2 linked regions of the Nothobranchius furzeri genome follow. Each later gene encodes a partner of the first gene's protein in a complex. Links are inferred from orthologs where the notes say so. Each region holds a gene or a part of one and is shown in the gene's direction. Other genes may lie near its edges. The genes, in order: ngfrb and tradd.

Region 1 (4,289 bases):
TCATTGCAGATAGACAAAATATAGTTTAACAACAGTCATACATAATAATGCACATTCATGCCTGCTAGCCAATGCTTTGTAAAATAATAATAAATTTATTTAAATAACAAAAGCTTCCCTCAGAACATTCTGAAATGCTATAAAATTAACCTCGGGATCTTTAGTAAGATTTTCAATGAAATTAGATCAAGTTCCTGTGCAGTAAAACCCTACAAAGGCCTACAGTGCCTAAAAAGGCACTGTATAAATGCAGGCCAGGTACCATTAGCCAAATGCATGGCTTGATATATATGCTTGCATGTTTTGATAAGCACAACCCTAACATGTTGGCTATTAAAAGACATTGCGGGCTTGTTTAGACTGTAAAGGCAGACATCCTAAAACCTGACAAAACCAAAGGCAGGGGATCTTCCAGAGAAGCCAGTGAAACAAAATCAGCCAGATGACAGCTGTTGTAGCAACGGCCCATAGCCTTCATAAAATGGTAAACTGCCATTGTATAGTGCCTTCTTAGGGTTCTACATCCCCCCAAGGCGCTTTACAACACAATCAGTAATTGTCTCACACAGACACACACACACACACACACACGCACACGCACACACACACACACACACACACACACACACACACACACACACACACACACACACACACACACACACACACACACACACACACACACACACACACTGATGATGAGCTACACAATGTAGCCACAGCTGCCCTGAGGTGTACTGACAGAGGAAAGTCTTTCCAAATGTTGCTGCCACCAGTCCCTCTGACCACCACCAGCAGGAAAGGTGGGTTAAGTGTCTTGCCAAAGAACACAACAGCAGCATTCTCTCATCTGAGCTGGGATCAAACCTGCAACCTTCCGATTACTGGACAACTCACTTTACCTCCCGAGCTACTTACTGCCCAATAAAATATTACCATACAGGAGGTTGTTGGGTTTGGTAATGTTTTTAGCCTTTGATGCATTAATTCCTTCTTTCAATCCTAGAGGCTAAGCCCCCTGTGCCTTTCAATGGCCCTGCTCTGCTATCTGTCGGGTCTAAATTCTCAAAAAAAGTTAATAAACGAGCTGTTGTGTGTGTGTGTGTGTGTGTGTGTGTGTGTGTGTGTGTGTGTGTGTGTGTGTGTGTGTGTGTGTACGCACGCGCGCTTGAAAGTGGGCGTGTTTTGGATCTCCTGAAGCCGCAGAGCTGAGAGCTTCTGCTGCGTGAGAGGTGCATGAAGTGCGCACAGAGAAACCCAAATGGGTCACTCATTTGCGTCGTTTGTTCCCACCGACTGACCGCATTCTGTGCGTTGAAACACGGGCTACCAGACTCTTGAGTGAGCGATTTTATTTATCTAATAAAAAGTATTTTCCAACTTTGTTTCTTCAGCTAAACTAAAAGTCGTAGAGATGACAGCCGTGATCTTTTCCCTTCGAAGTTGCTGAGATCCGCATCCTTCTGCATCCGATCCCCATCTGGAAATATACAAAGAAACAGGATGAAAGCAGTTTTATTCTTTCTGATGCTCGGATTGGTGAGTCTGCTTTCAACTTTCTTTAAAGAAACATTTTGGATTTGAATACGCGGAATAAGTTTGTGCGAAACGTTTCATCCTTTCAGTTTTTAACTCCTTCCACATGCCCCTTTGAAATTTGATCAGGAAATGTTTTAATAAATCACAGCAAGCATGCTGAAATCTATACATTTGGATGTTTTGATGGATTTTTAGAGACATTTAAGACTTTCTTGGCACGTGCACCTGTCCCCTTGCAGCAACCATTCATGTTGACCACGTTATCGTTGCTGGAGCTACAGTCCAGCCGGCTCAGTTACGTTTTTGCCTGCAGAGAGCAGGACAACGACGTGCGCTCACGTCCACAAAAACAAACCTAATAAATGTCTCATTATGAATTAGTTAGTAAAAACTCAGCATCGCTCAAGGAGCTCTGCACTTTGTTCAGATCCACATGACATTACAGAAGGAAAACAAACCGCACGGACGCACGAGCCGCAGCAGGAGCAGAATATTAAACACGCGCACCCAGAAGGAAACAACGAGTGAGGCAGGAGCAGTGTCATGGCACGGCAGCAGAAAGAGCAGGAATCTCTTCAGAGTTTATAGTTTGCTGATTGTTTCCTTGTTCGACGTCCAGACCAAACTTCTCAGCGCGAGACAGCTCAGTCACAGTCTGGTTTAGGAGCTGCATCACCAGTAAATGACAGCTGCTTCCCCTGATGGTTATGCATCCTCTGCTGGCTCAGCACATGCAATATTGATAGATCCTGAACCCTTCCCCACTCCTCTTCATCCTCATCCACCCTTGCTCTTTTCCTCACATCCTAAAGATATATTTTTGTACACCAATTTTCCAGCTTTTGTGACTAAAAGTTATAAATAGTCACCACCTGTTTAGTTCCCTGAATATCCTCCGGTCAGAAACATAGTGTTTAGTTCCTTTAGGCCTGGTGAGCTAGCAGCTGGTCTGATCAGCCAAGACAAATGTGTGTTAGTTTGATGCCATCTTGACATCTCTATAATTGGAGAGTTGTTTGGAGACTTTTATGCCGTCATCAGTTTTCAGGATCAGACACATGACATTATATGGTAAGTGTCTGGCGTATCGTTAGTTATCAGTGTAAATATTACCAACATAACCGTTGCACAAACTGCTATAAGAATTTGAAGCAATTAAAAAAATGTATATATATTTTTAAACTTTAAGCTAGAGCTTAAACATTGATCTCAGTGATTGCTGGGTTACAAACTTGACCAGTTTCATATTTGACATCAGTCTGCAGCCCTCTGTTGACCAAAAGCTGCACTAGATGGTTTTGTGGAGCTGGTAGGTGTTCTAGGGGGCGTTCTTCATGGCTGTTATCTGTAATGCTAGTGGTTAGCATTTTCAGTTTGCTGATCGTCAATAAAAAGCACAAGAAGAAGAAAAAGAAGAAGTTTGCCTTTTCTGGTAGCATCATGGCGGAGCCTGGAAGTAAAAGTAAGAGAGTAATGTCTGGAGATGAAGCAAAAAGCTAAAACCAGAGCGAACATCGGCATGGCCTACACTAGTTTGAGGAAGCTAAAGGAGGCTACTGAATCACGGACTGATATTGACCTGGCTTTGTTGCTACTGGACTTGTGTGTAATAATATTTTATATCAAACAGTGTGGCTCTTTTCACTTTGTGGTTTATTTTAGTATTAGTTGGCTCATGTTAGTATTAGCTCGTGTTTAGCGCCAGCTACAGCAGGTTGCAGCAGGTATGTTCATGACAGTTATAATTTTACTTTCAACCAGTAGGGCCGAGGAGCAGGACACTGCTCTGTGATACTTTGAGATGACAACACGTGTTGAAACTGGGTACAATTGGACCCTTTTGACAAGATAAAAATGGCTTGAACTTTATAGGCAACTCCAAAACAGACTGTTGGCATCTTAAAACAGCTCCAGCCTTCTAAGATTCACAGCGGCCAATAAAAACATACTTTTATTAATCATTACACTACCAACAATTTAACACCACACTATTCATTAGGCCAGTGGTTCCCAAACTTATTTAGCCGTGCACCCCCTTCTATGTCCCGACCATGTCGACGCACACCCCAGCCCCCACAGCAGGGCATGGATATATAAATATATATATATATATATATATATATATATATATATATATATATATATATATATGTGTGTGTATATCAGACGTCAAGCTAAACAGACAGGGTTAAAGAATATGATCGACCTTTTTCCCATCACTTTCATTTTTTAAATAGTAATTAATAAGCATTTGATACCATTACAATTTCCTTTGATTTAATTTTAAATAAATATTTAGAGTGCCCAGGTAGCACATAAACAATGCAATTTAACGGTTTTCTTAAAGTAGGAACGTTTAACCTGTGTGGCCAGAGCTCTCTCCTTCCTTCTGCTCTGCGTAAACCTGAGCTGATCACCTACTTGTGCGTGATCAAATGTCTATAGGGGAAAAGATGGAAAAGATATTTTGCCTCAGACCGACTTATTGCTGTTTTATGGTGTGGCTGAATCTGCGATCCGCTGCCATGCGGACCGGAATAACAAATGCTGCAGTAACATGAGATGTAGTCAGGTTCGGAGTCACTGGCTGGAGCGGACCCGACTTTAATACGTCATCCCAAAATAGAAGCTAATATCTTAATTTGACCTTGAATGAAAAATGTTATAAAACCTCTTAAAAGTTTTTTATCACAGAGGAGGCAGCGCTAATTTCTGTCTTCAGTCTGACGGCGCGCCGGCGTTTGCGCAGC
Region 2 (4,405 bases), on another chromosome or scaffold:
AAGCTCAAAAGCCATAAAACCAAAGATGCAACTAGACGCCTAAAAATACAAAATAATTTGCGGGTTATTGAAGTTCTGTGTCTGTTGAGGGCTGTGATTGCTGATGGGATGAATGATTTCTTATGGATTGCTTTTTTGGACAGTGCGATTCTGTATCTCCTGCCTGATGGGAGAAGACTGAAGGAATGGTGGAGGGGATGAGAAGGTTCCTCTGTGATCAGTGTGGCTTTCCTGATCACAGAGCGCTCGTGCAGAAGGGAAAGGGGGAGTTTGTAGTGAACCAATTATTTTGCCTGCTTGATCCGTTGCAGTTTATTTTTGTGCTTACAAGTGAGAAAGTTGTACCAGGATGTAATGTTAAACGTTAAAATGGATTCTATGATTGACCGTTAAGACAGTTACGATGTTTTTCCTGACATTAAAATCCCTTAATTTCCTGATGAGATGGAGGCGCTGGAGTGCCTTATTGTAAATGGAATCTGAGTGTTGTTGAAAGGACAGATGAGCATCTATCTGAGTCCCCAAATATTTAAAACTCTCCACCAATAAAAATGGCATTAAACCCATTAACCGTTAAACAAATAAATGACTCCTAATGTTCAAATTCTGGCTTAGTAAAAAAAAGTCTGGTTTTTAAAATGTGAAAATCAGTAAATCGCTATTGATATGGAAATGATTTCCCTCTTTCATATTCATTTTCTCTCCCCCTTTCCTTACATTTTTTCCTTTTCTCCTTTTAAACACACTTCTAATCATTTTTAAAATCTTTTTATACTTTAATTTATTTTTTGTTTTTATGAAGCTCTGTGTGATTTTTATCTTGAGAGGCGCTATATAAAATATCGTCGTAATGAAAAAGCATTAACATATTGTAAAAATTTGAGCTAAATGTGAAATGTCAAATACAAAAGTATGTTGAAAACGATTATTAAGTTGATGTTTAAAGCTTTCTATTGATAGCTCAATCCTCCTGTCAGAGGACGCCAGATAAACCAGAAATCACAACCCACGTTTTTTTAAATCCATCAACAATAACATGATCAACTATGTCAAAGCAGACAAATCCTAAAGCTAATTCATTTCACCATGATCTAGTTTAAGTATCAAAACCCAGAAATTGTTTTAACTTCCTCGGTATTCACCCAAAATTACATAGTTTCCTAATTTTTACATAATAAATTATTATTTTAACAGGTTATATGTAATTTATTTCTGTCAGAGCTGCATAAGACCAGAAAATGGAAACTAATTTTTAATCAGCTCACATTTTCCACATAGTGAGAAAGAGGACAAAAATAAACAGACGGTGTGGTGTTTCCAACTCCGATTATTTCAACCTGAATACATAATTCGATTTTATAATACCGGAAACTCTTCCCTCTTGTTTCTAGGAAATGTTTTCTACAAAAGATAAATGTACTGCAATGCCAAATTTACACTTCCTGTTTGTCATCAGTTAGCGCAACAATTTCCACCAATCAGAACGTAGGTTGATTTCACTCAGCCAACGGGAAGCCAGGAAGTCCCTGTCAGTGGGTGTGATTTCTAAGGAGGAAGCCTAACCGAACAAACTAAACCGTTTTAAGGTAAGTTTGTCCCAACTGTAAGTTTGACCTCACAGCAAAGCAGAAGTCCGGTTATTTAAAAGCTTCATGTGTGCGCTCGCCCGCCTTTACGCAGGAAAATAATTAACAGCGGGAAGTTTTTTGAGCTGTGACGTTTTTCGAGCACGAGCTGTGCATCTCTCCCCAAACGACACTAAGTAAAAGTTTCACACACTTAAGACACTTTTGTGTTCCATGGGGCGATTAAAAACAACAAGAAGGTTTGATCACTGCTTGGAAAAGTTACCTCTGGTGGCAGGTGACTTCTACTGAAACTGAAATCATATGTAGCTTTGCGCATGCTTTGTTGGAGGACACTAATGGTTACTGTTTTATACTTGAAACACCGATAGTTCATGTAAACAGATCACAATACCTTAAGAGTCTTAAAACATTACAATAATAATTTTTACACAACATAAACAGGTTCTGCATCCTAAAGAGACTAAATTAAAACTCTAAGAAATGATATTACAATGCAGTTAAAGTTTTAGATGTAAATCCATCAATTTTCATTCTAATAACATGCTGAAAAATAAATATCAAAGTATGACAGATAATACTAAAATAATCTGATTTCTATAATGCTATAATTAGCCTTTAAAGTATAGTGTTCCCCTAGCCTGGCAAGCTTTCTTTGCAAAGCAAGAATTTGGTCTAGTTCACAAGGCTAGTGTTCCCCCAGATCCTGGTCCTCAATCTCATATCCGGCATGTTCAAGTTGTTTCCCTGCTCCAACACATTTAATTCAATGTTTGCATTTGGCTTGCAGAAACCTGTTAATTGTCTGCTGATTAAAATCTGGTGTGCTGAAGCAAGATAAACCTCTTAAAATATGTAGGAAGGTGGCCCTTTCAGGACCAAATTGAACATTATTGCATTAAAGGGAATGTAAATAAACAACTATTCTAGTTTTATCCTGTTATGGAGTATTTCTTTTCTGGGGGGAGTGATCTCTTCCATTGCAATTATTTTCTTTGACAAATAAGGATCTTTGAGTTGTTTAAAGACAAAAATTGTGAGTTTCATAGTCTTAGTAATTAGAAATATAAAAAAGGAAGAATGCCTGGAGCAGACTGGTCCTGAAAATTCTTTAGGTGCAAACAAACAGAACTAAAGTTTTGTCGAGAAATGTCTTCTTGTCGAAACGTTAGAAATGTCTTGTCAGTTCTGTTTTTTTGCAGCTATTAAAGACTTTTCAGGACCAGTCTGCTCCAGCCATTCTTCCTTTTTTCTATGCCTATATCCCATGGGCTGTCAGAGCACCTGTGTTCCTGATCGGATGATACGCAACATGCTCGCTGATTATGTTTTAGAAATAGATTTATATTGATGCATGCCCCTTTTGGCTAAAATCAAATGAGCAATATTTTGATGAGGTTTGATGATGTTTTGGTCTCTTATATTTATGTTTGTTTCCTGATTTTAGCTCTTTTACATTTTCATAATAATAAACATTTAGTACAACTTGCACACATTACTACTTAGTCATTTTTAAAACCTGCATATGAATTTTGATGACATCCAATAGTTGTCCAGATTATTGGTTTTCAGCCTCATTTTCTGATTAAAGAATATATTTAAAGGTTATTTGGTAACAGAAATAACATGAATTAATTTGTAAAATGATTGTCTTTTTTTAAACAATTTCCCACATAAATAGTAGGAAAATACAATAGAATGGAATAAAATAGATTTTATTGATCCCACAGTGGGGAAATTCACTTTTGACAGCAGCACAGAGACAAGAGAATACATCTGAAGAAAATTCATAATAAAGGTACATGTACTGTATATACACATAGGCAGTAAGCTAGTATTGTGAACATGAGTTAGTAATTATATCAAAGATTGTGTTCTATTTAGGAACAGAGTGGCAATCAGCAGGATTAATAACACCTTTTTCCAAGTGTTTCATGACAAAATGACTGCTGTGAGAAGGCCCTTCATTAATTACCATAACAATGATTCTAGGTTGGTGTGTTTGTGTGAAGAAGTTGTTGCTACCCTGGGTTCCCCTCAGAACAGAAACTGCCCGAGGTAGCTTACTTCATGCACAAAACATCGTGCACGCTGAGTAGTACCTGGCTGGCTGGTGGAAATGCACATCCACACCCATCCACCCCAACACAAATACAGCAGCGTGCGCTCGAGCAGGCGTCCAAGCACTCTCCAGGGTTTCGCTTCACTTCTGCATATAAAGACAGAGAAAGGGCTTGATTAGGCAATACCCTGCTGATACACTCATTAACCTCACCTGGCTCTATTCCCAGGACCAATCTGCTCCACCTCTCCCCTTGCAGCTGAGACAAAACTACACCCCACTGCTCTACTGTGCCCTTCATGTTTGCTTTTATGCCTCTGCTCAGTGTGATTCACCACATTTAGGCTGTTTTTTTCACACAGTGCTTGATTTTAAGATTACAATAAGGTTGTGTTGTTACAGTCTATGAAACTTAATTCTTTTATTATGTTAAAAGGTGCATAATAGATGACATATTTGACATTTTGTCTGAGAACATATATTTTAAAAAATCATCATTTTAAGATGCTTTAAGATAATTTGTCGAGCATTAAAAAAACGTTATATATATTTATTTATTTTTAGATGATGGTGCTGCCAGTATAAAATTCAGGTTTGGTAAACACTGAATTTTTTTCTTTAAAGACAATGTGTAGGTTTTACTTTGAATCTCTGGAAAAATCCATCAAAATGTTGTTGAAAATGAATTAAATGATGACCAGTTGTTGAAAATTATTGGCAGTTTACACATAACCATAAAAACGGGTTTAAAATACAT

The links.
Region 2: the proteins of ngfrb (region 1) and tradd are in contact, whole or in part, in an NMR structure (PDB 7CSQ), measured with the Homo sapiens proteins. The link is inferred for Nothobranchius furzeri from reciprocal best matches to the Homo sapiens genes NGFR and TRADD. Residues at the interface, in NP_002498.1 of Homo sapiens: Glu345, Glu346, Glu348, Lys349, Leu350, Asn352, Gly353, Ser354, Ala355, Glu379, Ala380, Cys381, Arg384, Glu420; in NP_001310481.1 of Homo sapiens: Thr201, Phe202, Asn211, Ala275, Glu276, Arg278, Arg279, Thr281, Gln283, Arg284, Glu287.

The regions. Positions count from the first base shown.
Region 1 is NC_091756.1:35,452,649-35,456,937, reverse strand, and holds the start of ngfrb (nerve growth factor receptor b), read left to right. Parts: upstream 1-1,199; 5' UTR 1,200-1,341; intron 1,342-1,394; exon of another isoform or gene 1,395-1,443; 5' UTR 1,444-1,503; coding exon 1,504-1,539; intron 1,540-4,289. UniProt on the Homo sapiens protein: Low affinity receptor which can bind to NGF, BDNF, NTF3, and NTF4. Forms a heterodimeric receptor with SORCS2 that binds the precursor forms of NGF, BDNF and NTF3 with high affinity, and has much lower affinity for mature NGF and BDNF.
Region 2 is NC_091749.1:60,146,673-60,151,077, forward strand, and holds the start of tradd (tumor necrosis factor receptor type 1-associated DEATH domain protein), read left to right. Parts: upstream 1-1,498; 5' UTR 1,499-1,586; intron 1,587-4,405. UniProt on the Homo sapiens protein: Adapter molecule for TNFRSF1A/TNFR1 that specifically associates with the cytoplasmic domain of activated TNFRSF1A/TNFR1 mediating its interaction with FADD.